Schizosaccharomyces pombe: one gene and its partners. The gene in region 3 interacts genetically with the main gene of each other region. Each region holds a gene or a part of one and is shown on either strand. Other genes may lie near its edges. The genes, in order: SPOM_SPAC1B3.08, tls1, cwf15 and ada1.

Region 1 (7,842 bases), on a different chromosome or scaffold from region 3:
TTACTCGTTTCAATTCTACTAAAGCAGCAACCGGATCTTGCAAATGAACTAGAACTTGGTGCGTATTCACAATGTCAAACGTATTATCTGGAAATGGTAACTTGTAGATGCTGCCCAAGCGGAATGAACAGTTATTAATTTTTTCTTTCTTGAGCGTTTCTTCCTTTCTAAGTGCTTCTTCGGCCTTGTCAAGCAATTCTTGAGATGGCTCAACGCCAATTACTTCACCTTCAGGAACATACTTGGGGAATCCCACTGTAATAGTGCCAGGTCCACATCCAACGTCCAAAATACGATCTGTTTTCTTAACATATTTTAGCATATATGTCGAACACGTCTCTGGAGTTCTCCAAGCATGTGTTTCAGCAATATATGAATCAACACCGTTGGCATAGTACAATTGATCCGTCGGCTTAGACATATCTCTTTCTTGCTATATAAAGGAGAGCGAAAGAGTAATCGACAGTAGATTATTAAGAAAAAGAAAAGTTAAGTGTCTCCTTATTACCTTAGCAGTTTGCTACTTTAAGTTAGCAACTTTTTTAATGTTCTTAGCAGTTGGAGGTAAAGAGTAGATGTATAAGATATATCGTGATAGACTAAATGGATATAGATGGCTTCCAAGTAACAAATTCTAGACTTACGCCTCAAAAGAATAATTATATTAGACCGCTGAGTATGTTTTCACGCATTAAATGCTTTTAGAGCCATGCAAGGCTGTGTCATTATCCTTTTTTATAGCATTGCGCATGAATCTTACCTAAATCATGTTCCACTATTCATTTAAAAACTACGCTGCAGAATTGCTTAAAATATCAAACACTGCATATAGTAATAATTATAAGCACTACCTATTTATAACAATAAATATTACAAGGAACTTGATGCTTACCAAATTCTCGAAACATTTTTAATGCCAAAAAAAAAATTAAAATTAAAACATTCTAACTCTATTTTCAATCATACAATCTAAGCATCTTAAGACTATGCTATCATTATAAGTCCATCGTCAATCGCCTCTGATCTTCTGTTGTGAATTGCGAAGTGAAGATTGAGCATTACCACAACACACTCTGCAAACACATTGTGCAACCGATATATGAAAGTCAACTTATTAATTAGAAACATTCAAGAGTAGTTATTATAACCTACAGAATTTTTAACGTATTAAAAACAATTTACAGTTACAAAATGCTCGTGATATACAATGTCAGCAATACTACACTACGCTATGATATACTACGTTGCGTATCACTATAGATCATATGTTGGAATACTAGCTAAGATCCGTTTATTGATAATCACGGGTAACTATCCGTCTATATACATAAATACCCGTTGATAACAACTATTTAGAAATATTATAAATAGAGTTACAACTGAACCTTGTTCCTCAGTTCAGTTATGAGCTATCTCGGTGACCGATACTAACAGACTTCTTATAACAATAAATATACATTGTTAGTTAACATACCGCATACCGCTACATTGTAGATCGCAAGTAAAACTCACCACAGTTCTATTTATCGTTAAAACAGATATCAAACTGCGTAGCTAACATACAAACCTAAATAGCATTATATACTGTCTCGAGATAGTTCATCGTAAAAGTAGATTACGGACTACGTAGGAAATAATTTATTTCTAATTGTAAACATGCCAAGTCAGTGCACTGTATATTCAGGTTTCAGCTAAGCGATATAGTTTAATACTTTCTCCAAACTTTCAAGTTTTAACTTATTTCTTTTCTATTAATTTATCTAGAATAACATTCAATTTTTTCAAGTCGGGTGATGTTTTGAAATGAATTTGTACATCACTTGGTACAGTGCTTAAGCAATTGAAATTCTGTAATTGTGTCAGTAAAAAGGGCCAAAATTAAGCTCTCTTTGTATTCTTGCCAAATTAAAAGCTACAAATTACTTGAATCTCAAAGCAGGATGATCTACATAGAAAGAGACTGAAGCATCCCTTGTTTTCACCTATTCAATTTGAATGAGAGCTAATGACCCATCAGCTAGTTTACTGTCTATCGGATACTTAAAGGATAAACAGTGCATGAATTCAAATATCTCTGAAATAATAGACTTTAATTAATTAATTTAATAAATCATTCCTTCCTGAGCTATTTTACAAGGTTTAAGAAACGCTCTTAACATTCCATAGGGCAGAAAATAAGCGGCTTCAAGTGTGTATTCTATAAATTAAACCAAATCATTAGTTGGGTATTCCGTGTCATCGCTAGAAGAGTTAACATTAGCAATACGAATTTTAAAATCATAACAAGCTATAGCACTCTGCGTAGGCTTGTTCCAAATCATATAGCAGTTCTCTCTTTTCCACGTCATTCAACTGGTCAGTGATATTCATATTATTGATTTTTATCAACCATTGAACCAACTTGTTTCGACACGAAACTTGTATTTTTAGGCTCTCCGTTAAATCATCCATGCTTACAATCAATTCCGACAACAAAGGATGTAGCTGGTCTTTGGCAATAAAGTTAAGTCTAATGGCATCTAGAGTAGTAATGAAATTTTGTACCAAACCGGCAATTGATTTCGCAATGGAAGCAGATGGGTTGGATGGAGCCTTTGTTGGATTAACAGTTTGTGGAGTAGTATCATTCATAGCAATTGAAGGTTCTGCAGTTGTAGATATTGCATTGGAAAAGGTGGAATTGGACTGAGATCTTTCGTCCGATATCCCCTCTTGAATTCTCTTGATTGCTCTTGGGCATTGCAGTCGATACTTTGAACAGAAGTCTTCAAATGAGCCAAAAGCCTGAGTAACTCTTTCGTCACTAAAGCAAGACTCCCATTGTTGTATCAAAAGTTCACAGGTAGAATTGAAATCAGAAGTAGACACGGCGTCTTTCGTAAAAGCTTTCTCCAATTGCTCTAATGCCACCAAAATACTGTAAAGAATACTTAAATCTTCACGTACCTGTTGATTTTTAGTATGAAAATTGTTTTCTTCTGAAGTTTCCTTTTCTAAAAGGTTCAGATCGTAGTATTCAGTCATAGCATTAATAAACTGAAGAAACAGATGTCTAATTGTCCTTCAATCTTTCAAAGTTATAAACTAGCTTCGAATATATAATTAATTAATTACAATTGGGAAAAAATCAATTATAAATCAATGTAATGAATGACTTATTACATTGGAATAAATTGAGAGCTAGATGTTTCACACTGTCGCACAGTCGTCCATCGTTCTCATTTTGAAAACACATAATGCATCAAATATTGCACTTCTCTATCCAACAATTAGCCAAGTTAACGTACTGGTGCAAATCGCTATTAAATGTCAGCAATACTACACTACGCTATAATACACTACGTTGAGTATCACTATATGTCACATGTTCTAATTATATATCGTACCATGTATGATACGATATGGAGATTGATCTTAATGATAATCTATTAAGATCAATATTATCTGAATACTATAAATAGAGCTACTGCTGAACCTCGTTCCTCAGTTCAGTTATGAGCTATATTAGTGATAGGTAACATTATAACCCAGTTAATACAATACCTATACTCAGTTGCTACTTATACAACCTGTGTATTGTAATATAATAGATCACAAGGAAAACTCACCGCAGTTCTACGTATCCTTAAATCAGATACCAAACTGCGTAGCTTACATTAAAGTTGTCTCTAAGAATTTCGCAACAATGTGATATTTGTATATCGTTGCTTAACGCAGCCATTGAACAAATGTGATCGCATTGACATAATTATTAGTTTCCCTTTACAAAGCACATTTCAGTACGACTAGGTTGCTTTTCTGAACCATTATATTATGAACCAGGGTAATCAAGCTTTTGAAAATGCAAGAAAACCATTTCGCAGGGCTAATTTGATTACGGCCCTAGGTCTTGGCGCGTTTGCCTTCGCGACCTTTGCATATTCGGTCTACCGAGTTCACGAAGATACTTTTGAAGACGTAGTAATGACTCCTGAATTGGAAAAAAAAATTGCGGAGGATCGAGATCTCTCAAAAAAGAATTGAAAGTGTTCATCTTGATTCACCCATTTTTGGCTTTTGCTAGTACAAGTGACATCGTTACCTCTCGTGGGCAGCGTTCAAGAGCGCGCACACGACGGTGTCGTTGGTATTGAGACAGAGCACACTGGCGAAAACACAAACGGTGCTTGTGGACCCTTTAAAGCCCGATTTTTACATCTTCCCTTTCCCTTCCTTTTTTTTGGTACCGACCTGCTTAAAGGGCGCTTCTGATTTATGACAACTATGAGTGAGAGGCCTTTACCTTTAAACGTTTATTTCTCAACCATTAATTCAGCTGTTGCGCGATCTAATAGTGTCCTACTAGCGAAAAATTTATCAATTCCTTGGGGGAAAACGCTAACCTCAGTGCTGAACTTTGATATTCCTGGAACATATTCGTCTGACGATGTTTTGAAACTTACTGTAGAAAGATCAATTTCAAAAAACTGGACAGACATTGTACTTTTGCATTTACAAGTTTTGCTGTACTTAGTTCGTGACCATGATCCTGCAGCCGCCTTTAAACAACAGACTGAACTCGCACAGCATCTATATCGTGAATTCTCATCCGGCAGATGTACCGGTGTTCATTTACCAGTATTGTTTATAGTATGTAAGGATCTACGATTTTTGGCTATCAATGCACATAATGCAATGCTTCGCCGCAAACAGCAGTTGAAAGTAATTTCGGTTGATGAGTCGGAAGAAAATGAACAACTTGAAGCAACCGCTAGGCTGATTAATCGTGCATTTACCATCTGTATCAATGATCGAGCTCCTCTGTCGACGTCACGTAAATGGGGAGCTTATTATATTATGGGTTTGTTGTTTAAACTTTACTTAAGACTAGATTGTGTGCATTTGACCAACAATGTTCTGCGTGCCATGAAAGTTGTGGAACTTCCTGACATTTCCCTTTTCCCTAAGTCTCACGTCGTAATTTTTCATTATTACCTTGGAATTGTTGCCTTTTTAAACCAAAATTACAAAAATGCCTCAGCTGAGCTAGAGATTGCCTTTTCCTTATGTCACAAAGGTTACAATCGCAACTTGGAATTAATTCTTTCGTATTGGATTCCAACTCGCATTTTAGTAAATCATCAGCTACCCACAAAAAATTTACTCTCTAAATTTCCCAATCTGGCTTCTGTCTATATTCCTTTGACTAGAGCACTAAAATCCGGTAATTTAGGTGAATTTGGAAAATGTTTGCAAAAAAACGAAACCTTGCTTGCAAAAACCAAAATTTACCTCACCCTAGAGGGCACAAGAGATTTGTGTATTCGAAATCTTTTTCGTAAGACTTGGATCATCTGTGGGAAATCTACTCGTTTACCTGTTTCTGTATTTCAGATAGCCCTTCAAGTTGCCGGTACTGATTTACCCAAACTGCATGTAGAAGCTATTTTGGCCAATATGATTAGCAAAGGATACATGAGAGGATATATATCTCGTAACTTCGAAACTGTGGTTTTGTCCGCCAAGGATCCGTTTCCCAAAAATGTCTCTACCTAGTTATGTCCATTATGAAAAATACGTTAAGATTTGTCGATGCGGCAAAAAATTTAAAACTACAGCGTTTACGCTATTTTTAAACTCTATTACTAATCTTATGAATGATTAGAACGTTTATTAATTTAATTAATTCGTCCGTTTTTGATCTCTATAGTAAGTTAACTGAAAATCATGTAGATATACAATGCTTATTTATATCCTTAATCTCCACCAGACAAAAGTGTTTACTTTTTTCGTTTGTACAATAAAAATTTTTTTAAAGTCAATTTAAAGAACCTTCTTAGGTAGTATCACTGACTAGTTTACCCATTGGAGTAGACCTCCAATCCAAGTCCTTCTCGAAAGCTTCTACTTGAGATGTGTCATTGAGAGTAAAATCTACGTTCATCCTTCTGCTTTCAACAAAAGAAAAAGTGCTTTCAAGTTTGTTCAAGAATGTTAAAACATGCTTCCCCGGTGCGGATTCATTTACCAGTCCACGAAGTTGTGCGATTATGGGAGCAGAGAGCTCTGGAAAGGCAATTGAATTGGAAAATATGGCAAAATATTCAGTCATTAGCAAAATGACTTCTTTTCTGACATTGTTACGATAAGATTTTGACAACAAACATTCTTTAGGCACATGAAGAGTAGAATACATGTCAAAGTTATACATTACTTCCTTATCATCAGACAAAGGACTCGATCTCCTAAGAACAAATGGGATCATTTCTAAAAACTGAGAAGACAGGGGGATGTAAAGGCGGGTAGATCTGCAAATATTAACAAGTGACTTTAAAAGATGGAGACGTAATGGGTAATATTGCTCCGTAGGAATTAAACGAATGCAATCCAGCGTCAGGTTTATGGCGATTGGAGAAATTTCTTTGGAGATTGATTCATAATCATTCCATAAAAATGATATAACATGTAACCAAAATCTCAGCGAAAGCGTAAATTGCCAATTGTATATTAATTTGTATGCATCACTGCTTTCAGACTCCTTCAAGCAGCGCTTCAAATGAGCATCCAATTGGGAGAGATAAGCGAAGGCAATTTTTTGATAAAACCGTGAGTTAAGAGAAAGAAGTTCAATCAAGAACAGTTGAAGCTCTTCAAGGGTATCGAAATCGTTAACTTCACTGGGAGAAGACTTAAAAAAGTCCAACAAAGGCGAGTAAAATACTTGAAAAACTGCCACACTCAACGACGAATCAATTTTGCAAATATGATTAACTGCTTTTTGAATATCTTCCCGAGCTTTAGAATGATTAACAAAAATATTACATAGCTGTGTAACCAGACCATTGGGAAATTTAGAAAATTTTTTTATGTGAAGTATAGTATCAAGGGCCGAAGACAAATTTTGATATCCCTTTTTCTCAAAATTAAATTTTGTTAATAAAATCTCGGCATACTCTAAACGAAGGTCCTGAAGAATCTTTGACCTAGCGTCAAAATCCACGTTGTCCAAAGTCTCCTTTAAGTCCTTTTCAACATTTTTCCACAACGCATCTGCTTGATTGGTCCCCGATAATTTCTGACAATATGCAATAGCAGCAAGTAAATCCTTTTCACTCCGTCTTTTTTGAGTAGAAACTTGATTTAAAGAAGCGCCCTTGGAGTTTACATTAAGAACCGAAATATCTTCTGATCCGTCTTTCTCATGCGATGTATTAGAGGTCGTTACATCTGAATATAGTTTAGAAAGATCTTCTTTGTTTTTATTGTTATCATTTGTTCCACTTTCCAGTTTATTTTTTGTATGTGAATTTCGATTTTTTGTGCCGTAAACTTTTTTTGAACGAGCTAACTGCTTTCTCCGCTCGATAGTATTTTTTAGGTGGTTTTTAGTAAACTTTTTTGTAGCCTTGGAAGCTTTACCCATTTCCCCGAGAAAACAAAAACACCAGTTCAATTGCAGATGAACGTAGTAGTAAATTCACTTCGCTGTAAATGTGTGAGAAATTCAGGTTGAGTAACACGGGTAACAGTGCAAGGATTTCTCAAAAATTAGCAGCTTTTATGGTATTTGAAAAGTGAATTGGAATATTTTGACTGTAGGATTAAAAATATGTGCTCCTTCAAGCAGCTGATCATGCATATAACGATAGCTATATTGGCACTTGTGAAGCATATTCATGCGATTTAGATAAAAAATACTTACCGTAAACGAAGTAGTTTCAGTAATTTAATATAAAGTTGGTGAATATTGATCCAAAAAATGGCAACTTTTAAAGGGAAGTAAGAGTTTTGGTTAGAAGATAGCTCATCCAGCAATCGTCTAGCAATATAAATATCTTGATCTCGTCCTATTCCGTATTCGTG
Region 2 (7,878 bases), on a different chromosome or scaffold from region 3:
TGAATGCCATTTAGTTGTAATATGAAATTCTTTGCCGAAGACTCAGCCATTCCAATCTTCCCTTTTGAATTACCTATACAACTAGGTACGAAATCATCTTCGGCACAATATCTTTATGATTGCACCGCAAAGTTGAGTTTCAACATTTATTTAAAGAATCAATAATTATTTTTTATTCAATAAAAAGCAAAATATTTAAAACGCCTTCTTTTCCCTTAATTTTAACCGTAAATGAGTGAATGAAGCGAGGTTAGCATTATTACAACAGCTACAGTCCTCCTTATTCAATCCATCCCACTAATGAAAACAGCCAGTTGATGGAACCAACATCTGAGCATTCATCAATCAAGGAGGAAGTGGAAAATGATAACGTTCATAGATCTCATGAGTCGGAATGTGGATCACTGCTGTTAAACCCTGGTAATGTTCTAATGGCAGCGCCTTCGGTGTCAGAGGATGATCAAGAAGTAAGCAGGTCTACACCAGAATTGCGAAGCCACGTGGAAAACGTTGAACAATTACTTTCTGATATATTGCATGATAATTCCTCTCCGCTTAATGTAAGCACTTCAGTATCGAGCAGTAGTAACAATACGGCTGTTGATGAAATTATAAAACTACTTTCGTTGATATCTTTTGATTTGGCAAAACAAAAGCGCACATATTTGATATTCTCTTCATCAGGGAAGCCCGTGTTTAGTAACATTGTTGATGATTCAATTGAGCCATCAACCGTTGGCGCGTTACAAGCAATTATTAGCTCTTTCGAAGTGTCGAAAGAAGAGCTAACAAGCTTTTCTACCTTTTCCAATGTTATCGTTGTTCTCTCCAAAAATCCTCTTTATCTTGTTGGCGTATCGCCATCGACAACTTTAAGCGCAGCATATTTACTCAGTGAGTTAAACCTCTTATATTGCCAAATACTTACTGGGGTTACTGCGAAAGCTATGCAGCTGACCTTAAACTCCCGCCCAAATTTTGATTTGAGAAGACTTATTGGAAGCAACGAGCAGTTCCTAAAAGAACTATGTGATCAACTTAATGATTATGAATTAGTCCCCACATTGAATGCCATATCTCCTCTTCCTTTACGTTCCTCTTTTCGTGATCAGCTGTCGCAACTGCTGTTGAGAGAAACACCCAAATCTCTGCTGTTTACTTTTATAGCTATACGAGGTCGGCTTGTTTGTATGGTTAAGGCGAAGAAGCTTTTATTACATGCTAATGATCTCTATTTACTTTTCCTATCACTCTTCCGCACACAGTCTTTTAATGATTCAATGGAGCATTGGGTGCCTGTTTGTTTTCCTACTCTAAATCCAGATGCTTATATTTACATTTATAGCTATTTCCTATGTAAGGACACTGTCTTGATAATGGGGAGCAGCGAAAGTGGTGTCTTTTTTGAAATGCAATCAGTGAAATGCAAAGTTGCTCAGGAAATTCAGGATCATGGATGGTTGAAAAAGCTCATTTATTGTGAAGAAATGGATAGAACTACGCCAAGGAATCCCGGATCTCCTTGTATTTCACATTACTTGTTTTATTCAAAGAAATACTCACAGTTTTATACTCCTGGCTATTCATTTTCAACTCCCAATTTCAATACTAGGTACGTATACAATGATCTATTTTTCTTTACAATTTCAATACGATCGCTATCTTTGGGCTCATTTGCTTTGCTAACTATGTTTTTAGAACTCTTTATGCTATTTATGCTAGCTTACACGACCAGGCATTTCACAAAAAAAATTCTTTCTCAATTAATATGACTGTCCATGAATCTTTGCTTCTATTCACGTGGTCAACTGCATCGTTCGACTTTCATTGTATTGCTAACGCTACCACTAGCAGTCAACTGCTTATTGCAAATGTTAATAAGATTTTGAGATGGATACGAAGGGAGGAGAATCGATTATTTATACAAACAAACCTTTCGTTTTGATAATGAGCATGTAAAGTTTAATGAAATTCATTTCTTTTTATTTTTTATGATGTTTTGACAGTAAAATATTTAAAAGAGCGGTGATTGCTTCCAACAGCTTTATTAATTTTTCTTTTTCCTTTTTTTGTTTTAATTTATTAATATCAGCATCATTTTACTCACATAAATTTCCGACTGTATGAACTTAATATCATAGCGAGTCAACCGCGCCATTACCTAAATCACCACCAACCCTATTTAAGTACTAAACAATCGAAATGTTTGGTGGTTTAAAGAACTTTATTAAAGAAAAATCAGAAGCTTTAGCTGGTATTCATCGAGAATCAGATGAATCATGTGGTTTCAGAGTATTAAAGGTTGAAAACGATTCGAAAGCCTATAATGCCAGAATTGAGTCTTATTACGATTTTATAACGGCAGTGAATGGGATCTTACTGGTATGAACTGATTATAGTTTTATCATTACTAAAGTGTTTTTCACAGAATGGAGACCCTTCAATGTTTATGGCTTTGCTTCGTGATTCTTCCCCCGAAGTAACTTTAGAAGTATTTTCTTTAAAAGGGCAAATTACGAGGAAAGTTAATATTAAAATTAACAGTGACGGTAAGTTTCTAGCTGCGGTTAACGATTCTTATATCTTTTTTGGATGTATTTTTATGAACGCTTATTGAATACAAATAAATTTTCTAACGACTACAGAAAAAATTGGCATGGTTTTACAGTGGGCATCAATCGCTCCTGCCGTGGATGCCATTTGGCATATTTTGAATGTTATAGACGATTCTCCTGTTGCACGAGCTAGCCTTGTTCCGTATGAAGATTATATCGTCGGAACTCCTGAAGGAATGATGACAGGAGAAAAAGCGCTTTCAGACCTAATTGAGTCTGTATGTAAATTATGTGCTAAGATAAATTATTTGACTAACAATTTAACAGCATCTCAACAGACCCTTACGCCTGTATATCTACAATCATTATCGCGACTCCACTCGTCAAGTTACCATTGTCCCAAATCGTCATTGGGGAGGTAATGGAGCTATTGGATGTGGTGTTGGACATGGCGTCTTGCATCGCTTACCCGCTCCTTTGTCAGGACCTCCTCCACAACCTGGGGACATTGTGTTTTCAAATCCCATGCTGGGGGGTCCAGATCATAAAGTGTCTCAGCCCAGTGAAACTGAAAACTTTTTGCCTACTCCAGAACCACCTAAAATCGCTTCTGCTAATGCTGGATCTAGCAATGAAATATCTATCCCGCACTATCAAAGACATAAGAAGTCTCATAAAGGCGCTATCCAAGATTCTTCTATTCAATCATATTTAGATGAAGAAGAAAAACTAAGCAGAGAATTGGATCATAAAACCAAAGACGCTTCTTCTACTAACGATTCCCAAACAACTCCTTTGCCTCCTCCTCCTCCTGTCGCTGTTAATTCAACAAACGATGAATCAGCGCCTCAAAATGAAGAACTTGTGAAAAATTAGTTATTTAGTTAAGCTCGTCTTTTCTAGCAAAAGCCCTCTTTTTAATGCCCATAATGATTAAAAGTTACAAAACTATATTTTTGATAAATAAACATTTGAGGTTTTGAGTAAGGATTTTATAAAACACAAACAAACCTCTTTATCCGAATTGATTACTCAAAAAATGTAATAAATAATTTGAATTAATGAACCTTGCCAAACTGTTGCTTCTTTTTTATTATCGTTAATCCTGAGTTCCATCCTTGTAAACGCGAAAACGCCTGTAGATTCCCTTACTTTCTTCATCTTGGGATATCGGTTTTAACATTTTTTCAATAAATTCATCCCGAGCAGCGTCCTCAGAGGTGCGAAGAGCCTTCGAGTCTAGTTTTTCTTTCATTCTTGCTCTTTTTTTTTGTCGTTTCCGACCATTTTTCAAATTATCAACGTCGGTACTAATAATCCCTAAATCTACTTCACGTATAGCACCAAGAGCAGCTGCATCTCTAATAAATGAATGTTCATTTGGATGTAAGGAATTTTTTATGTTTTGTACCGTCGATTCATTTTTTGTATTAAGTGCATTAGTCTCTCCATTTTCTGAGTAGTTTTGGGCCAACCTTTCCTGTTTCAGTTTTTTTTCAACAAAGTTTAATAAATGCGTGTTGATGTCAACCTCGTTTGTTTGTTTAGCAAACCTATCTTCGACGGTTGGAAGTTGCGCCTCTATAAGTTTCGACGATTGAGCTGAGGTCTGATCATTAGCTTCATGAGGCTCATTAGCAGTGTTCAATTGTTTCTCTTTTTTTGTTTCTTGATTTAATAACTTTTCAGCATTTATCCCGATAATCGAATTTCTAATTTTTCGCCTCTTAGTAGCTTCCAAAGCTTGCCGTAGACGAATATCATTATCATCTAATTCTTCTAAATCAAATTCTTTTTCATTTCCAAAAACTTTTCTTCTTCTGAACGATCGATTGCTTTTCTTTTTTATATGTATACTATTCATGCGGATACTTTTTGTGGTTGGTATTTCAAGTAAACCCTCCTGGAAATATATACCATTCATATAGCCTGTACATGTACCAAAAATTTGTCGCATATTACGATGCAAGTAAGAACTTTGCTTACATTGGGAAAAAAAAAAGTAATTGGAAATAGGCAGTGCATTCTTAGTCTTTATCGAAAATATTCTAATGTTCAAAGTCGCAAAGCGGAAGACCAATTGTTGCGTCAAATTTTTGATGATCAGAATATAGCTGTGAACCAGATAACGAAAAGAAATGGAATTCAGGGAGTAGGATTGTTTCGTAATCACTTCCTTTCCGACAAAGATACCGGCTTCCTAAGGCTCGCGGAAACTGCATCTGAAAAATGTAAGGCCGTGATTGAGGATCTTTTGCTCGAGGATACTGAAGACGGGTCAATTGTAGTCAGCAAATTTGACAGGATTTCTAACTTACTATGCAGTGTCATTGACCTTTTTGAGTTTGTGCGCTGCGCCCATCCTGACAAGATGGTGGTAATGAAAGCAGAAGAAGCTTACAGTTATCTATTTGAGCTGATGAACACTTTAAACACTCATCAAGGTCTTTACGAAAAATTAAAGTGTTCTTTACAACAGACTCCTACGTTGAAAGATACAGATCCTGAAGCATATACTGTTGGAAGAGTATTCCTCCAAGATTTTGAAAAATCGGGCGTAAATTTAGAGAGCTCGAAAAGAAACTCCTTTGTTAAAAAGTCCTCTGAATCTGCAACTCTTGGAAGAGCATTTTTTAATAATAGCATGAATCGTCCTCAGCGTTATTTAACTATTTCTAAGCAACGTCTGGCTGGTTCGGACCCATATTTTGTACGCTCACTCTCTAAGAATGACAAAAACTTTATTATGATTCCAACTGTTGGATACGAAGGTACACAGGCCTTGATTAGTGTAGCAAATCCCGACGTCAGGAAAGAAATTTACATGGAAGGTCATAAAGGAACAGTTGAAGAAGTCGAATTGCTAAATTCCTATTTGAGGTCTAAAGCGGAAGTTGCGAAACTAGTGGGAAAAAGTAGTTTTGCAGATTTACAACTTATAGATAAAATGGCTAATGCTCCTAAACATGTTGTTGAATTTTTAGAGAACTTATCATTAAAAAATTCTTCCGTGTTAAAAAAGATTTTAAACAATCTCGCGTTAATGAAGAAAAAAGAGTTAAACTTGAATTTTCTTCCATCATTTGATGTTTGGGACAGGGAATATTATACTGCTCGCTATAAACAATCTCTTATAAATCAAAAGCCTTCTTTAAACCCTTCTATAACGAATTATCGGCGTTTTTTTTCTGTTGGTACAGTTATTCAAGGTCTATCTAGACTATTTAGTTCTTTATATGGGCTTCGTTTTGTTCCAGCGGACATTTCCCCTGGTGAGGTATGGCATCCTGATGTAAATAAGGTCAATGTTTACAATGAAAATGATCATGTAATGGGTGTAATTTATTTCGATCTATTTGCTCGAACAGGAAAAACAGATGGAGCTGCTCATTTTACAATTCGTTCTTCTCGGGAATTAGACTTGACAAGCTTTGACGATTCTATAAGTCTTGGATTTGATGATGCTACTAATATAAGGGTCAAGGATAACAAACGGTATCAAATACCTGTCATTTCGTTATTGTGTAATTTCGTACGTTCTAGTGGAATGGATCCTACCTTTTTAGATTTGTGGGATGTGAAAACACTTTTTCACGAGATGGGGCATGCCATGCATTCCATTCTAGGTCATACTAAATATCAGAACTTAGCCGGAACTCGTTGTGCAACCGACTTTGTTGAACTTCCTTCAATTATTATGGAGTTTTTTATGTCAAATCCAGCCGTATTACCGCTTTATGCTCGCTACGAAGGAACTGAGATTCCATTACCTGTACAAGTTTTGAACCATCATAACATGGTTGAAAATAGTTCAGCACCCTTAGATTTACAATCTCAAATTTGTATGGCTATGGTGGATCAATTGTTTCACTCGAAGGTTGTCTTAGATCCGTCATTTAATTCTATCGATGAAGTTACTAATGTAACCAGAAAGTTCAGTGGGTTTGAGTCTGCTCCACCTGCTGCTTGGTATCTTCAGTTTAGTCATCTTTATGGATATAGCGCTACTTATTATTCATACATTTTTGATACGGTATTGGCTTCGCTAATCTTTAGTAAACTTTTTGCTGGAAATCCATTAAGCCGTGAGGCTGGTGAGAAATTTCGTAAAGCCATCCTACGATGGGGTGGCAGTAGAAGCCCATGGGAATGTGTTGCAGAAGCCCTTGAACAACCTATATTAGCAACGGGCGGCGAAGAGGCCATGCGTCGAATAGGAAGTGAAGGTATTAAAGCGACGTCCACCTTTTAATGGAATGATGTTCCAGTTATGAATTTAAATAATTTATTTATGAATTATAATGAAATACTAAATTTATGTAAAGTCGTAAGGTTTGAAACACATTTTGAAAGCTTCACTCTCAGCTTTTTCTTCATCTTCTGTCTGAACGCATTTTCTCCAATCAACCCTATCCTCAAGACCCAAAATTTTTGCAGCAGCACGTCGCCCAAACTGTAAATCAAATCGTTCTCTTAGTTGTAATCGATGAATTAAGATTTTTCCAGAGGGTAGAAATACACGGAAATAGTTCAGCTCATGAGGTTCTACATCCCTTTCCTCAAAGTCGTAACCAGCTTCCTTTGCCATTTCAAGGAAGACTGATTCAATACGATGTGAGGAAATCTTGGGGATGGGAATCATTTGCCAATGCAAATGAACTCCGTTAGCTCTACTAATTTCATATACTAAAGCATCGGAATCACAAGCATTGTACATATCAGTTACAGCTTTACGAAATCGATTCATTTCATTTAAAGTTTTCTCATATGAGGTGTCCGACAAAGTACTTAAAGCAGAAGCATGCGCAATTGGTATAATCAAAACATGACCAGAGGAAGCTAAAGCTGGGGTATTCGATGCCGTGGTAGTAAGAGGGCCTTTGGGCAACGCTGAGTCGTTAGTATAAAAAAGAGTAAAATTTAAACAGCGTGTCGCAAACATTGGAGTGTATAAACGTACCCATGTAAGCTTCGTTACCAATAGCGACTATTAAGTGAAGTGCAACATTTGGATTACTCAAACAAAAGAAGCATGACCCGGCTGAGAAAAGAAGTTAGTGACGGTGGAAAAAACGCAGAGATAAGAAGCGGAACTCACGTCCAACTTTAGACCGTCTATTATTGAGCGAAGTGCCTGATTCGGACTTGTGCAAATTATTGAGTGCACTATGTGACTCTGACTTGTGCATTTTGTTGAGGGACGAGCTAGAATCTTTTTTAGATTTAAAGAGAGCAGTGCTTGATTTAGATTTATGGAATTTATTTGTTTGCTGGGGAATAATTTGATCTTCTGAAGCACGCTTTAAGGGAATTGGCCTATGCT
Region 3 (6,837 bases):
GATTTTTGGAAGAGTCAATATCGTAGTGACATACTTATAAACAATCTGACAGAGACCTTATTTGAAAGCATTGTTCCAGATACTACGAATTCCCCTTTTTCCACAGAAGCTTTCCTTCAAGCCGTTGAAAATGGTCATTTAAATCACGAAATGTTTACTTCCTTTACGGATATTTTTTTCAAGTCATATCAGAATTTAGAATCGATTAATTCCTGGTTGAGGTTGATGGCGTCCCTTTACAAAGATTTAAGTGAACTAGTTCCAGTTGGAATTACAGCGGAAGGTCGAACGATTTTAGGCCTAAAATTGAACGGTCGACATCCTTCCGACAACGGGGAAAAGATTCGTAACAAGAAAGTGATTATTATTCAAGGAGGATCTCATGCTCGTGAGTGGATAGGTATTCCATCTGTTTGCTATGCCGCATGGCAATTGTTGGCAAAATATGATTCCGATGGTCATGTCCGAAAGCTTTTGGATAAATTTGAATGGATTTTTATTCCAGTTTTAAACGTTGATGGTTATGAATATACATGGTCAAACGATAGACTGGTAAGTGGTTTGTAATGAAGCATATACTAATTATTTGTCAGTGGTCAAAAAACAGACAGCCTCTTAATAATTCCGAGTGTTTTGGCATAAATCTCGATGCGAATTGGGCATTTGGCTTCAACGGTAATATTGATCCTTGCAGCAACGGTAAGCGAACTATTTTTTTTGATGACTTATTACAACTAACAAACTCAAGAATATGGAGGATTATCACCTTTTCAGGCTAACGAAACTATGGCCTTGTTCAATCTGATAACTGAATCCTTGTCGCAAGAGCAGAAAAAGGTCGTTGGATTTCTTGATGTGCATTCGTATTCACAATCTGGTATGTTTCGACAGTCTATTTTCATTTACTAATTAAGTTAGTTTTGTGGCCTTATGCATATACCTGCGACTTGTTTCCTCCTGATACTGAGAATTTTGAGGAATTAGCAATTGGCTTAGTTAAAGAGTTGCATCGCGTAAATAGTAGATACTACACATATCAACAAGCATGTATACCGTATGATGGATTTCATAAACATTACCTACCTGGAACTGCCATTGACTGGGTTTATTTTGCTGCTGATGTAGCATGGCCTTTCAATATTCGATTACGAGACATGGGTGATTATGTAAGTTGATATCTCTAAAATTTTTTACTAATTAAACAAGGGATATTTATTACCTGCTAAACAGATTGTCCCCACAGCTAAGGAATTTTTTGCGATGATTCTTTACTATGGAGAGTTTATCGCTGAGTATGCATTTTAGTCCAAGAAAGATCAATAATTATTCGCTTATCTGTTGGCAATTTTGCCAAATTTAATTATAGTAATTATTAATTTATGAAAATAAATACCTTCCTTCCAGGTGGTTCAATTGATGCGTTATTTACCTGTCTTAACAATAAATCCAGTTCTATCAATTAACGTTTTTTAGAACGTTATAAGAATTTAAGAGTGAATACTTACTAAAGTAGTGAATCATGATTACTTTGCAAGAGTAAATATTAAGATTTTTTGGTGTAATCGTATTTGCACTCCACCAACATAGTCTCAATAATAACAGTTGTGAATTGCATATTTTTTCAATATGACGACTGCACATGTATGCTCAATTTACATATATATCCTCTATTTTATAATTTAAAACTAACTCATGTTTAGAGACCCCAATTTGATCCAGCTAGGGGGCATTCAGAAATGGCCCCTACTAGGATAACGTCTAGTCGCGCATTACCAGCTCATTTAAAACTAAAATATAGACAAGAATCTCAAGGAACTGAGGAAGAGGTCAGAAAACAGGATTTACGAGAGGCATTGTTACGTGCAGAGGCTGCACATTTTGCAACTCAAGAACATGGTGCCTCTTCTGAAGAAGTAAGCCAGAATTCAAAACTCATAGAAGGTTTCACTTCCCCTTCAACGGACGATAAACCCAATAACGATGTTGAGGTTGATTATCAAGAGCTGTTACGGCAGACTTTGGAGGCGGACGAGGATGCTAGCGATAGCGACGACAGTGTGGATAGTTCAAATAAAAATTCTGAGGTATCAATTAAAAGAAGAAAAACAGAATCAAATTCTCAAGAATCCGTTGACTCATCAAATTCAGAAAGTTCGGACGAAGAGTCCGATTCAGAAGATGAGACACAACAGCTACTTCGAGAGTTGGAAAATATAAAACAAGAAAGAAAACGAGAGCAAATGCTTCAGGAAGAGAAAAACAGAGCACTGGAGCAAGAAAAAAGGGAACGGGAAATAGCTTTTGGAAATGAGCTTTTGAATAAAGCTTCTTCAGGGTCTTTTCAAGTTAAGCGTCGATGGGACGAAGACGTTGTTTTTAGGAATACACATAAAGGGGTTGATGACACACCTCGGCCTGGATTTGTTAATGATATGTTGAGAAGCGAGTTTCACAAGAAGTTCTTGGCAAGATTTGTTGATTAAATCACCTGTGGGTTTGCTGTCTTCTTTTCTTTCCACAAAACAAAATTTCTTCATTCTACTGCTATCATACAAGGCAATTTTTAAGAATGTTACTTATAAATGAGATGATAATGTTTAATTGATAACTTGCTTCTTTTTTTGTTTTAATACTGGCTGTACTGAGTTTAGTAGTTACAATTGTTGGTATATTAAGTTTACAAAATTTATAATTGCAAAGCCTTTATTTGAGTGATGCATATCTTATTTATTCTCTCACCAAATCTGCGTTAACGGAAGGGGTTACTGAAAAGTTTACTATAATTTAATGTAAATATTTTATCATTTTTAAAAAAGACAACTACTATAACTTTTTGTACGAAGGAAACATTTGAGAAATACTATATATATACTTTTGAAGTCGTTTGCTTTTACTTTTGAAATCACTAATTTATTTAACATAATGCAAGGATGGTTGCTCAATACCGAAATATAGTTTTACTACTGTACTGGCTAATCACCACTTGACTTTTACCAAGACATAAAGGCTTTCGTAAACAAAATGGCTTTGCGAGTTCCAAAGGCCTCTGGGCCTCAACTGTTTCGCGAAGGATATCGGATTATGCAGGGCGTAGAGGATGCAGTAATCCGTAATTGTAATGCTATTCGTGAACTTTCAGAAATCGTAAGGACCTATAATTTATTAAGCAAGTTTCATTCATTTACTGATACTTTTAGACCCGTACCTCTTTGGGTCCAAATGGAAAAAATAAAATTGGTATGTTGACTCAAACAGTTATTTCATTTCTTATTCTCTAACACACACATAGTTGTCAATCATCTGCAACAGACGTTTTTGACGAATGATGCTGCGACCATTATACGTGAATTGGAGGTTATTCATCCTGCTGCTAAACTAGTTGTCGATGCTACCCAACAACAGGAGAATGAGGTAAGTTAATTCATTAACTGTACAATTTTTTTTGAGATACACTTGTTTGAACATTAAATAAGCGGATTTTTTTTCTTTGCGGACTTTATTTTAAGCTTCCTTTACCTTTTGATCCACTCATGTGCCTTACAAAAGGGCATTTTAGAAAGCACTTTGATTACCCTTTTATCAACGTTTTCATGTTTTATATAACTCTATCGTATTGACGCTTACTTTGTTTATTTATACTTCAAATATTTGTACATTGATTTGCTCTTAAAACCATTTTCTGTTTACTAACCATTAGCTTGGTGATGCTGCAAATTTTGTGGTTGTATTTACAGGTGAACTTTTAGCCAAGGCTGAAAACATGATTCGCATGGGTCTCACTCCCTTGGAAATTGCTAAAGGATACGAAATGGCTTTATCACACACTATGGAGGTTTTGGAGGAAATTTGTGCTGATAAAATTGAGACTGTTGAAAGTGAGAAGGAGCTTATTAAAGCAATTCGAACTTGTATATCTTCTAAGCAATATGGAAATGAAGATTTCCTTTCGGATTTAGTTGCTAAAGCGATCCTCACAGTTCTTCCCAAAGATCCATCCAAGTTTAACGTTGACAATATCCGTGTGGTTAAAATTATGGGAAGTAGCCTTTATAACTCTCAGGTTGTAAAGGGCATGGTATTTCCTAGAGAGCCAGAGGGCACCGTTACACGTTCAAAAGAAGCTAAAGTTGCTGTTTTTTCATGCCCTTTGGATATTTCTCAAACCGAAACAAAAGGCACAGTATTGTTGCATAATGCTCAAGAAATGCTTGACTTTTCTAAAGGAGAGGAGAACCTTATTGAGTCTCACATTAAAGAAATTTACGATGCTGGTGTTAGGGTAGTTGTCACTAGTGGCAATGTCAATGACTTAGTTTTACATTATTTGAATAGATTTGAAATCCTTGTTATTCGTGTGCCAAGCAAATTTGAATTACGTCGCTTATGTCGGGTGGTTGGCGCTACCCCGTTGGCTCGTATGGGTGTTCCCATGCCTGAAGAGATGGGATCCGTCGATGTTGTTGAGACGATTGAGATTGGTGGTGATCGTGTCACTGTATTCCGTCAAGTTGAGGATATTACACGTACTGCAACAATCGTGCTTCGAGGGGCTACTAAGACATACTTGGATGATTTGGAAAGAGCGATTGATGATGGTGTAAATATCGTAAAAGCTTTGGTCAAAGATAACCGTTTAATCTTTGGTGCTGGAGCTAGTGATATGCAACTCTGTATTCGTCTAATTTCAGTTGGTGAAAAAACTCCTGGTATATATCAACATGCAATCAAACAGTATGGAGAAGCATTTGAGGTTGTTCCTAGGACTATTTCAGAAAACGCTGGATTAGATCCTACTGATGTTATTAGCAAACTTTATGCTGCCCATCATAAGGAAAACGGTGAATCAATTGGAGTTGATGTTGAATGTGAAAATGATGGAACATTAGATGCGAAAGAAGCTGGTATATTTGATGTTTTATTAGCAAAAAAATCAGCAATTAGATTAGCAACTGAAACTGTACTCACTGTTTTAAACGTTGATCAAGTTGTTATGTCTAAACCAGCTGGAGGTCCAAAACCACCTGGCCCCAACCCTCATTGGGATGATGATTAAAATTTAAGTGAGTTTCATTTTTCTACTAGGATTGGATTAAAACGATGAATAGTTTTTGTAAAAATCTGCTACTAATTTTCTATTGAAATTAAAAGCGCGTTATCAAAATAATTAGGTACAGACATAATCCATTGAAGTAAGACATTTATCATTAAAGGTCTCTAAATCGTAACGTTCTCTAATAACGGTAAAGTAAAGTTGCCATGTTTATTAAAATCTTTTAACAATTCAGTCGGTGTGCTGCGCTGGTCTCTATTTTTGAGAAGTTTTTTCACAAATAAGCGGAACCGCCATGAAGGATCGTCGTTATCATTAGTATTTCCAGTAGATCTTTTGAATGGCGATTTGCATAAGTGCCATGTATAATCACATCTTACAAGCCTTTGAACATAACGTTTGATCCTTACATTCTCAGGATCCAAAGTTGGGTAGGAGTCAAAGGGAAGACGACCCTCTAATAGTGCAAATAAAACTATTCCGAGAGACCAAGCGTCCGCGCGAAATCCATCATGTGCAATACCCATATAAACTTCCGGTGGTGCATATTCTTGGCTGCCGCAGCTGGATTGCACTAAATGATTTTTACTGTCAACAAAAATAGAAAGCTCAAAGTCAGAAATCTGAATTAAAGCATTTGGGTAGTTCTTCCAATTATCAATCGTCTTTATAACATTATAAGGTTGGGTAAGCAATATATCTAAAGACAAAGTGTTAGTTTAAAATCATAACTGTAAAAGTTGAAAATCCTTATTCATCGAGCTTACTTTCAAGTTTTAAATCTCTATGAATCAAACATTTGGAATGAAGGTAAGCAACTGTATGTACTAACTCAGAAAAAATTCGCCCAACAAATTCAAGGCTGAAATCCGAATGATGTTTTTTAGTGTAATGATAGAGATCTCCTCCCATACAATAATTCTCTACGAGTATTAATTCGGCGGAGGAAACGTAGTAATTTAATAGCTGCACAACACATGGATGCGACAAAGTTTTGAGGGCCCAAATTTCTTGCCGAAATACTTTTACTCTAGCTTTTTTTTCGTTTTGAGACTTGGATGATAAGTGAGTATGTTTTAGGACGATGGAAGTATCAAACTTCTTATTATTAGATTTGACAAGCAGTACTTCCCTTTGTTCCGTAGAGGTGATTTTAGTATTTATAGACCACAAATATTTCTCATTCTCGTCTGAATATAAAGCATATCCTCTACTTCTGCCTAATTGAAGAGAATACAATGATTTTTTTTGTATATTAGTTAAGCCAAAAATTAAATCGGAAAAAGTCTCTAAATCTCTATTAAATGGAGCATAGTTAGAAATTTCTAGTTTAGTTAAATCGTTCGTCAATGATTCAGATATATCAGTCTCAGACGGAAGAGCTGAAATATTCGGATTTACATGACGAATTTTATTTGAAAGAGGATATAGTTGCAGCGATTTTTCTTCGCAAGAATGTTTTTTTTCAGACATTAAAAGCCCATTCTTCCTAGATAGGGCTCAACTTTCTTCGAAATATACAAAATTCCAAAAACGGCTTCGATAGGATGAAGTCAGGTACTGACGCATATAAAAGGTTAGGATAGGTATTCTAAAAATGCTTATTGACTAAGACTGCCACATTGATTGACAGTTTAAAAAAAAAAAGAAAAATAATGAAAACTAAGCATTACATTTCATGGATTTCAGCTATCACCATATAGACCAGCTGCACTAGAGTCGTCCGAAGAGGGAGAACTATCTTTTCCATAGATATCTGAGTCTTCTGGTAATTCTTTAGATTCCTC
Region 4 (9,145 bases), 660 kb from region 3:
TGATTATTAACGCCATAAATGTTGGTGCAGGAAGGGAATAAAACAGGTTCAATGGAATATCGATAATCCTAAAAAAACTTGTGAAAAAATCTAAGTTAAATCTAATCACTATCCAAAAATTTATTGGCAGAAGCACCCAGATACAGGCGTAGAGTGTTAGGGGAGCAATTTACCAATTTGCAGCGAACCTTTTTGCGCCCTGCTTCATCGTGAGCACGTAGTCGATGACAGCCCCCAAAGGCAAAATAATAAGGCTTCCCACTCTTTTTAAACGTTAAAACATCAACAGGAGGAAGCTCACCAGCTTCCAAATCTTCTGAAGTCAAACCGCATGAAGCTGGAGGAGTTTTCCCTGTCATGGTTTCCATCATACTATTGACTTTGTTCATATCTAAAACAGGAGGTATAGGACGAATTAACTCAGACATATCAAGCTCAACAATGTTGTTATTTGAGCCAGTGTGAATCGAAGTCATGATGGTTAAAAATGAATGAAAGAAAGAATATAAAAAAGATAAAGTGAACAGAAATTTTTATAAATAGAACAGAAAATTATAAAAAAAGGCAAGTTAATAAGAATGGAAAAGTGGATATTGATATCGAGTATATTTACTCCTTGATCTGATATCGTTTCCTGTTGTACTAATGATCTGCCCCACAACCTATCTTATCCCGGTATGTATATAATAATTTACAAATATGACATCATTATCAAAGATGAATCGATACTTAAAATCTTATGTAAAAATTTGTCAGCATGTTAGCGAAACACGTTAAACCGACTAGGACAAAGCAACGTGGTTACGTTACGAGGTCTGGGTTTGTGTTCTTAGTAAGGTAGTTGGAGTAGCTTATTCATTAAATGTAGATGGCAATAAAACACTATTGCAAAGATGTCAAAGTGTAGAATGATGCTACCTAAATAGAATTTCAAGCACAAATACTTAGGTATAAATAACTTGGAGTCGACGGAGAACTGTAAATGCACGAGTACATTCAAAAATGTGTAAACAAAAGGTTCACTTTCTGAAAACGCTTTCTAAAATGTGACAGAGATAACCGACACAAGATCATTAAAACAATATGAGTATTGTTTTCGAATGGTGAAAGAAGCATTAGCTAGTTGAAGAGTGCAAATTTTGGTTAAGAAGAAATTCATTGGTAGAATGTAGGCTTGAACCGTTAGTCGTCAACAAAAGTGGAATTTTAAAGATTGCATCTGAAATCCTTAAATTTTAAGAAAATCCATCCTTAAGTCAGGATTAAGAAACCATAGTATATTATTTTGTTTGTATAAGTTCGGCTGCTATATTTGCTGAGGCCAAATTGATTCTTGGCCAACGTTTTATATCATAAGATTTGAAGGCAATGTAGCAAATTGAATATTAGATTATTTTAACACTTTAAAAATGTTAGGTAATGTAAGGAATAACATTTCAATTTAAAGAAGGACTGAGCGACAAATGAAAGGCTGTTCTTTTTTTTACAATTGTTGAGACAATTACAAGAACTATGGTACACATAAAAACTTTTAAAGAGTAGCAAGGTTTTAATACAATTCTTAAAGTTTTTTGAGCAAACAGATCACAATGATCCTTTCATATGTACATGCTTTAGAGAAGTAAGGTCAATACTTCAATCGGACTTCTCATCTACAATGAAAACGCGAATTTCATAATAAATACTAATCATCCATCCGTTCTCTCATATCCTTGGTATCCTTTATCCTTCCCATTAGTCAATCTCTAAAGCCATTAATCCTCATTTTTTTATAATGCCATCGCTCAATTCCCGCAAAACATCAAACCTTTTATGAACAGATACTATCATTTACTTACAATATGTTTTTAGCAACATAGCTTCCTATTAGCCTGATGTGAGATTAACTTCGATAAACTTTCAATATTAAAACTTGCATTCGATTTGAATCATCTTTACTGCCATAAAATAGAATTGCGATTTAGGATCAAGTTAGCACGACATCATGGTGTTTTCCAATATTCGCGACCTGTTCTCAACCACCACTCACCACTTCATTAATTCCAAGTTTTAGAATTCTTTAGCTTTTTGAAGTATTACTTGTGAATTCCTCAAGTGATAGTATTTATTGTTGAAATTGCTAAATATTTTTCAATTTCATCCTGCATTGTTTCCTTCTTCAAACATTATATCAGGGAGAAAATTGAAGTGTTTTTTTGCCTGGAAATCTAATCCAATTGCTACGAAAACGAATTATCATATCAAAAAGGTAGAATAACATTAAAAAATGAATCCTGAACGCTGGGCTGCCGATTTAGTCTCTAATGTTAAGGATTACGGCAAGCGAATCATTGACTATGCTCATGAAAAAACTAGTAACCCTCAACCTGTTACAGTTCATACTACAAACAGTGCCAAGGGAAGATTGGGAGAATTTCTTTATCAAAATAGAGTATCAGTTGGCTTAGGATCGGCCGCTTTGTTCCTTGCTGGATTATCCTATTACAAACGCTATGATTATGTACGCAAGCGTCGTGCTCCACGTGCACCCAACCACCAAAAAACCCAAGTTGTTGTCTTATCTGCGTGGAACCCTCTCGCCTCAGTAATTGCTCACGATTTGGATCGTCGTGGTTTTATCGTCGTTGTTCTTGTTCGCGATGCATCTGAAGCAGCTACTGTTTCTCTCCAACAACGCCCTTACATTCAATCTTTGATTGTTACTCATAATGAGGCTGTTGAACGCTTCCTTTTGTCTTTTTCCAATCAATCTGGCCCTAAGGAGTATGCTTTGCGCCTACGTGGTCTTATTCTCGTTCCCACAGGAGATTCTTTGTACACTCCAATTGAGAACATTGGAAAAGATGCTTGGATCAGTGCTTTTCAACAACTCAGTGAATCTTTCTCTAACGTTTCTCGAATGATTCCTCTTTTGAAAAGTCAAAAGGCCAGAATCATTGGCTTGTCTCATGGTATATTATCCGCTTATGAGCCTCCCAATTATGCTGTTCCATCTATTCTTTCTTCTTCCATTGAAACTTTCTTGCGCACTCTCAAGCGTGAAACGGGCTTACAGGTTATTTGTATCAAACTTGGAAATCTCAGCTTTTTGAATTACGATCATTCTAGCTCTCCAGGTAAAAGCAATTATCCTCCTTCGTTGTGTACGGAACGTAAGGTTCTAAACAAAATTTTTGACTCCTTGCTTGGTTGCTGGCCCTCTCCAACTCGCCATGTTGGTTGTCGCACCTTTTTCATGGTCACAGTATCACGGTTCCTTCCTACGTGTGTTATTGATGGGATTTTCTCCTTGTTTGGAAAATTTCACTTCTTTTCCTGCAGTCTTATTAAGCGCAGCTAAATACTTGTATGGAGCCTCAGTTCTCTCTGTTTCCTTGTCAAATTGAACTCATCCCATGTCTATCATGGTTTGGTATAATGATAATGATGCTATGAAAAGATGTCATTGATATCCATATCTTTTGCTTGAGTTTTTTCAATTATTTTTGTTTCTATTTTTTTTACGCTCGAGGTGTAAAGCGAAATCTAGTAACTGTTAAGCTCTTTTCCTCAGAGCGAACTTAAGTAAAATGGTTTATAGGTTATTTTACCGTTCGTACTATTGCTACAATTTCGATTTCAAATTGTATTGTCTACTTAAATGTGCAAGTGATACAAAAGATAGGATGTATATTGATCGCTACTGAAACCGTAAAAACAAAAGTTACTCGTAAAATGAGTGTCAATTTTCTCTTTAATTTATTGAATGAAAATATTAAAAATCATTCGATTTAAACAAATTCAGTTTGGCCAGAATTCTAAACATTTCAATTGCCCTTAATTTTGTTTGCCTCAATAAATCATCGCTCTATTTCGTTAAACAACATAATGTCTGTACGTCCTCTCTCACTATGTGGTTTACTTCCGTATATAAACGGCTCTTCACCCGCAAGTGCACGCGCTCCTCTCAAAAAGGTGTTGTTTTCGTCGCATTCTTCTTGAAGAGGCCAATTTTTGGGATTCTTTTTTATTCTAATTTTTAGAGCTGAAATGAACATGGAACAAGAAGATGATCAAGTCCCAGCTGTTGCAGCTGAAACTGTTCCTTTAAAACGATATGTAACGAATCCTGGTGCTAATCGAGACGAAGAAGTTGCAGCAGCGCCTTCGTCTCAAGACACTCCTTATTTTGATTATGCTTATGAGCGCTCTTTAAGACATGTAAGTATTTAAGTGAAAACCCCCCAATTCGATATATTACGTGTTTAACTAACCATAACCTAGCAAGATGCTAAATTTCTGGCTATGAATGGAACACAAAACGGTCGGGATGGACTGCCCTCTAAAAGCCCAAGACGACCATCAGTCTCGGCTAGCACAGTAAGGAATAGTGATGATGTAAACCATAGTAAAGCTGGTCCTGGAAGTGGAAAGCTTTTGAATGATACGCTTCAAAGCAAAATAAGTAGCATTCATATGCCCCATGTGCAGCAGGGAGACAATGCTGTAGTTTCTAGTGTTGGTGGCCCTGAAACCGATCCAGGAAACATGGAAACGACTGACCCTCTTTTCTCTGATGAATTGGCAGAAATTTATTTGTCAATCCATAAATGTATGGACATGCGACACAAATATATTAGGGTGAGCTTACAGGGTGAGCTTGACAATCCCATTGACGATGATTCATGGATTATATACCCTGATTGCAAAGAAGGTGAAGATGATACGGGCTTGTTTAATTTTGCTGATTGCAAAATTCCTGGAATTGAAAATGAAATGGAATATCACATGGATCATCAAGGTATATTTCAAGTTTATGAGAATGACAGCGCATACATTGCGGGGACACCGTCTTTTCATATTCCTACTATCCGCGATTATTATATAGATTTAGAATTCCTTCTTTCGGCTTCATCGGATGGTCCTAGTAAATCATTTTCCTTCCGTAGATTGCAGTATCTAGAAGGACGCTGGAATATGTATATGCTGCTAAACGAGTATCAAGAGCTGGCAGATACCAAAAAAGTACCCCATCGTGATTTTTACAATGTACGTAAGGTAGATACTCACGTCCATCATTCTGCTCTTGCGAATCAAAAACATCTCTTGCGATTTATCAAAGCTAAACTTCGTAAATGCCCTAATGAAAAAGTTATCTGGCGTGATGGCAAATTCCTGACTTTACAAGAAGTATTTGATTCGTTGAAGTTGACTTCGTATGACCTTAGTATAGACACGTTGGATATGCATGCTCATACTGACACCTTTCACCGATTTGACAAATTTAACTTGAAATATAATCCAATTGGTGAATCTCGTTTGCGTACTATTTTCCTGAAAACCGATAATGATATTAACGGTCGATATCTTGCTGAACTTACCAAAGAGGTGTTCACCGACCTTAGAACTCAAAAGTACCAAATGGCTGAATATCGTATTTCTATCTATGGACGGAATCGTGAAGAATGGGATAAGCTTGCAGCCTGGATTATTGATAACGAACTTTTTTCTCCCAACGTTCGTTGGCTTATTCAAGTACCTCGTTTGTATGATGTGTATAAGAAGTCCGGTATTGTTGAGACTTTTGAAGAGGTCGTCAGAAATGTCTTTGAACCACTGTTCGAAGTTACAAAGGATCCTCGTACACATCCTAAACTCCACGTGTTTTTGCAACGTGTTATCGGGTTTGACTCTGTTGACGACGAAAGTAAACCTGAACGCCGTACCTTTCGCAAATTCCCTTATCCGAAACATTGGGATATTAATTTAAATCCTCCATATAGTTATTGGTTATATTACATGTATGCCAACATGACTAGCTTGAATAGCTGGAGAAAAATACGTGGTTTTAACACCTTTGTCCTTCGTCCTCATTGTGGTGAAGCTGGAGATACGGATCATTTGGCCAGTGCTTTCTTATTAAGTCACGGTATTAACCATGGTATTTTATTACGAAAAGTTCCTTTTCTTCAGTATCTTTGGTACCTTGATCAGATCCCTATCGCAATGTCTCCATTATCAAACAATGCACTGTTTCTTGCATATGATAAGAATCCATTTTTGACGTACTTCAAACGAGGTCTTAATGTTAGTCTTTCCACTGATGATCCTTTACAATTTGCATTTACCCGAGAGCCTCTGATTGAGGAATATGCTGTAGCCGCACAAATTTATAAGCTCTCTGCTGTCGATATGTGCGAATTGGCTAGAAACAGTGTTTTACAATCCGGTTTCGAACGTCAGCTTAAAGAACGTTGGTTGGGTGTTGATTTTCAGGATATTGATCGTACTAATGTACCTATAATTCGCCTGGCTTATCGTGCTTTGACTTTGACACAAGAAATTGCGTTAGTGAACAAGCATGTCCAACCATCCAAGCACCCTTCAAACCATGATTTGGAGGAATTGATCCATAAATATGATGCTATGACTGGTACTAGCGACCCTTTGTCGGCTTCTCCTCGTACGAACGACGCTACAATAAGCAGTAGATTGTCTCTTCATGATGGTCATGACCATGGTGCCTTTTTCCCTGGACTAAGTGTGATTTCAGAGCGTCGTCGACGTAAGGATAGCATGGCTAGCAGTAGCCAAGATTTGAAAGATTAAGGTTTCTATTATGAACCGCTTTCGTTTATTTTACTTTTGCTTTTTTTTTCATGCAACTTTGATGTATTGAAACATTTGGGGAAGGCAATATACCTTTGATACCTTTGATAATTGTGCATTCTGTTTTAGAACGATATTTGTTCTTGTTATGTTAAATAACCCATAAAAATATATATAACATATATATTACCTCCTTTTCTTTCCTGTCTTTTTTTTTTTTTGGAATGAATGTTTACTATACATATTTAAATAGATAATGATATCCATGTGAACTAAAATGGTATGAAAAAAGCTTACAAGTCTATTTAATGGAATACTTATAGAGAATTAATTCTCAAAAAAACAAATCATGTGGATCATCTTCATTATAATAAAGTGAGTAAAGTAAGATAAGTTACCATGTTACAATTCGAATTTAGTAATAACTTAAGCAAAACGTTAAATTGATTAATCAGTTGACGCGGACAATCAGCAAATACTAATCGCACCAAAAGTGCACACAAAAATAAACAAACTAGTTTAGTATATCGATTTGTAGTGTGATAAGGGTTACCCATTCGTGGTTCAAGAGGATGAATTTAAACATTTTTTTCAAGTTCTTTGACAAATTCATCCATATCGAAATCTTCTGAATCTTTCTTCAAATTAGGCAACATAGAGTCTTCTAAATTGAGTATTAGTAAAGCGAAAAAAAAATGAGTACTATTGCACCCGCCAAAGTTCGTTAAACTCGTTGAGATGCAAAGAAACTAACCTTTAGGAGGAGTGTTTTTAGTATTGAGATATGCAATTTTGGCAGATTCAATCAAGGATTCTTGTCGGTGATAGTTCTCATCAATCTCCTTCTGCTTTTGACATTGAATATGACTCCTATGCTCGTACATTCCAGCACCTAAGCCAAGGACGAGGGCTGACCAGCGTAATGTCTATTCGTTAGAGATGGTTAAAAATACACATGGATATTTCGTGAAACTAATTCATTAGAGGATACCTTTACGTTTATGGAATTCATTTTTAGAGCGTTATATCACTTTTGTAAAAGAGTGGGGAGTGTTCAAGTTCATTTTGCATCCGAGCACAATCGAACTCTAAACACTTAACACGAATAGTGCAACGTTTAGTATTAGTTTAACATTCTAATAAAGGTTTTTTTAAAATATTTCAGCAAACGCTTTACCGTATTCTTAATTACTCCGCGGTATTGAAGCTGCTACCAGTGCTTGATCCATTTCGAAAACAAAGATAGCATTAACACGTTACGACACATTAAATTGTATACAATAACAAAACTTCGAGTACAGTAGTTTACAGTGCACGAAGAAGTCCCAAGGTAAAGCAAACGAAGTAGAGTTGCTCTCCTTCACCAAACACAATGTCGAAAGCAGCAACGGTTCCCGTGGCATTTCAAGACCGAGAAAAGCCTCAAGAGGTTCGGCTTTCAAATATTATGGCGGCTCGCTCAGTCGCCGATGCGATTCGAACTAGTTTGGGACCGAAGGGAATGGACAAAATGATTCAAACAGGAAAAGGTGAAGTTATTCTAACAAATGATGGTGCAACTATTTTGAAGCACTTGTCCGTCCTTCATCCCGCTGCGAAGATGCTGGTCGACTTAAGTGCCGCACAAGACGTTGAAGCTGGTGATGGTACGACCAGTGTAGTTATCTTAGCAGGATCCATGCTCGCATGCGCTGAGAAGCTTTTAAAAAAGGGAATTCACCCAACAGTTATCGCGGAATCTTTTCAAAGAGCAGCAGGTTTTACTGTTGATTGCATGAAAGAGAATGCTTTGGCCATTGAGCTGTCTGATCGTGAATCACTCTTAAGGGCAGCAACCACATCTCTAAATTCCAAAATTGTTTCACAATACAGTAACCTTTTAGCTCCAATTGCTGTAGATGCCGTATTAAAGGTCATTGACCCTCGTGTTGCGACAAATGTGGATCTGAAGGATATTCGTATTGTTAAAAAATTAGGTGGTATTATTGACGATACCGAGTTAATTCCCGGATTGGCTTTGACACAAACGGCAGTCAAGAGCGCTGGCGGTCCCACAAGGATTGAAAAGGCTAACATTGCGCTTATTCAATTTCAATTATCTCCTCCCAAACCCGATATGGAAAATCAAGTAGTAGTCAATGATTACAGACAGATGGATAAGATTCTTAAGGAAGAACGTCAGTATCTTTTGAATATGTGCAAAAAAATAAAAAAGGCAGGTGCCAATGTTATTCTCATACAAAAGTCAATTCTCCGGGATGCTGTTAATGATCTTGCTTTACACTTTTTGGCCAAACTCAAAATTATGGTAATTAAAGACATTGAGCGTGATGAGGTGGAATTCATTTGTAAATCTACTGGATGCAAACCTATTGCTGATATTGAATCCTTTGCAGAGGATAAACTAGGACATGCGGATTTAGTAGAAGAGACATCTTCTTCTGGTGAAAAAATCGTAAAGTTTAGTGGTGTTAAGAATGCTGGAAAAACAGTCTCCATATTATGCCGAGGTGCTAATCTGTTGACTTTAGAAGAGGCAGAACGCTCTCTTCACGAT

Evidence for each region.
Region 1: mutations in cwf15 (region 3) and SPOM_SPAC1B3.08 together harm fitness more than expected from each alone (negative genetic interaction), as found in Schizosaccharomyces pombe (one large-scale study listed by BioGRID).
Region 2: mutations in cwf15 (region 3) and tls1 together harm fitness more than expected from each alone (negative genetic interaction), as found in Schizosaccharomyces pombe (one large-scale study listed by BioGRID).
Region 4: mutations in cwf15 (region 3) and ada1 together harm fitness more than expected from each alone (negative genetic interaction), as found in Schizosaccharomyces pombe (one large-scale study listed by BioGRID).

The regions. Positions count from the first base shown.
Region 1 is NC_003424.3:4,938,413-4,946,254, forward strand, and holds SPOM_SPAC1B3.08 (hypothetical protein), read left to right. Parts: upstream 1-4,131; 5' UTR 4,132-4,263; coding exon 4,264-5,535; 3' UTR 5,536-5,815; downstream 5,816-7,842. Other genes in the region: SPOM_SPAC1B3.06C (UbiE family methyltransferase), read right to left, coding at 1-421; ESCRT I complex subunit Vps28, read right to left, coding at 2,278-3,024; Cytochrome c oxidase assembly factor Coa3, read left to right, coding at 3,814-4,023; noc202 (Noc2-Noc3 complex subunit), read right to left, coding at 5,816-7,402; protein Hrd302, read right to left, coding at 7,678-7,842.
Region 2 is NC_003424.3:635,952-643,829, reverse strand, and holds tls1 (splicing factor Tls1), read right to left. Parts: upstream 4,439-7,878; 5' UTR 4,420-4,438; coding exon 3,655-4,419; 3' UTR 3,432-3,654; coding exon of another isoform or gene 2,883-3,431; 3' UTR 2,834-2,882; coding exon of another isoform or gene 2,646-2,833; 3' UTR 2,550-2,645; downstream 1-2,549. Other genes in the region: autophagy associated protein Aut12, read left to right, coding at 318-1,612, 1,699-1,945; grh1 (GRASP family protein), read left to right, coding at 2,203-2,382, 2,429-2,549, 2,646-2,833, 2,883-3,431; peptidase Oct1, read left to right, coding at 4,519-6,807; CwfJ family splicing factor mug161, read right to left, coding at 6,871-7,445, 7,516-7,596, 7,654-7,878.
Region 3 is NC_003423.3:1,036,763-1,043,599, reverse strand, and holds cwf15 (protein Cwf15), read left to right. Parts: upstream 1-1,570; 5' UTR 1,571-1,626; coding exon 1,627-1,641; exon of another isoform or gene 1,642-1,700; coding exon 1,701-2,483; 3' UTR 2,484-2,612; downstream 2,613-6,837. Other genes in the region: ecm14 (carboxypeptidase), read left to right, coding at 1-552, 594-699, 749-877, 919-1,166, 1,207-1,305; chaperonin-containing T-complex theta subunit Cct8, read left to right, coding at 3,022-3,144, 3,198-3,237, 3,290-3,411, 3,698-5,053; serine/threonine protein kinase Ppk27, read right to left, coding at 5,215-5,750, 5,818-6,523; rhn1 (RNA polymerase II transcription termination factor), read right to left, coding at 6,736-6,837. UniProt on the Schizosaccharomyces pombe protein: Involved in pre-mRNA splicing.
Region 4 is NC_003423.3:376,361-385,505, forward strand, and holds ada1 (adenosine deaminase Ada1), read left to right. Parts: upstream 1-3,939; 5' UTR 3,940-4,029; coding exon 4,030-4,200; exon of another isoform or gene 4,201-4,263; coding exon 4,264-6,588; 3' UTR 6,589-6,940; downstream 6,941-9,145. Other genes in the region: srx1 (sulfiredoxin), read right to left, coding at 102-476; SPOM_SPBC106.03 (steroid dehydrogenase), read left to right, coding at 2,267-3,340; tim11 (F0-ATPase subunit E), read right to left, coding at 7,167-7,252, 7,343-7,514, 7,580-7,600; chaperonin-containing T-complex delta subunit Cct4, read left to right, coding at 7,961-9,145. UniProt on the Schizosaccharomyces pombe protein: AMP deaminase plays a critical role in energy metabolism.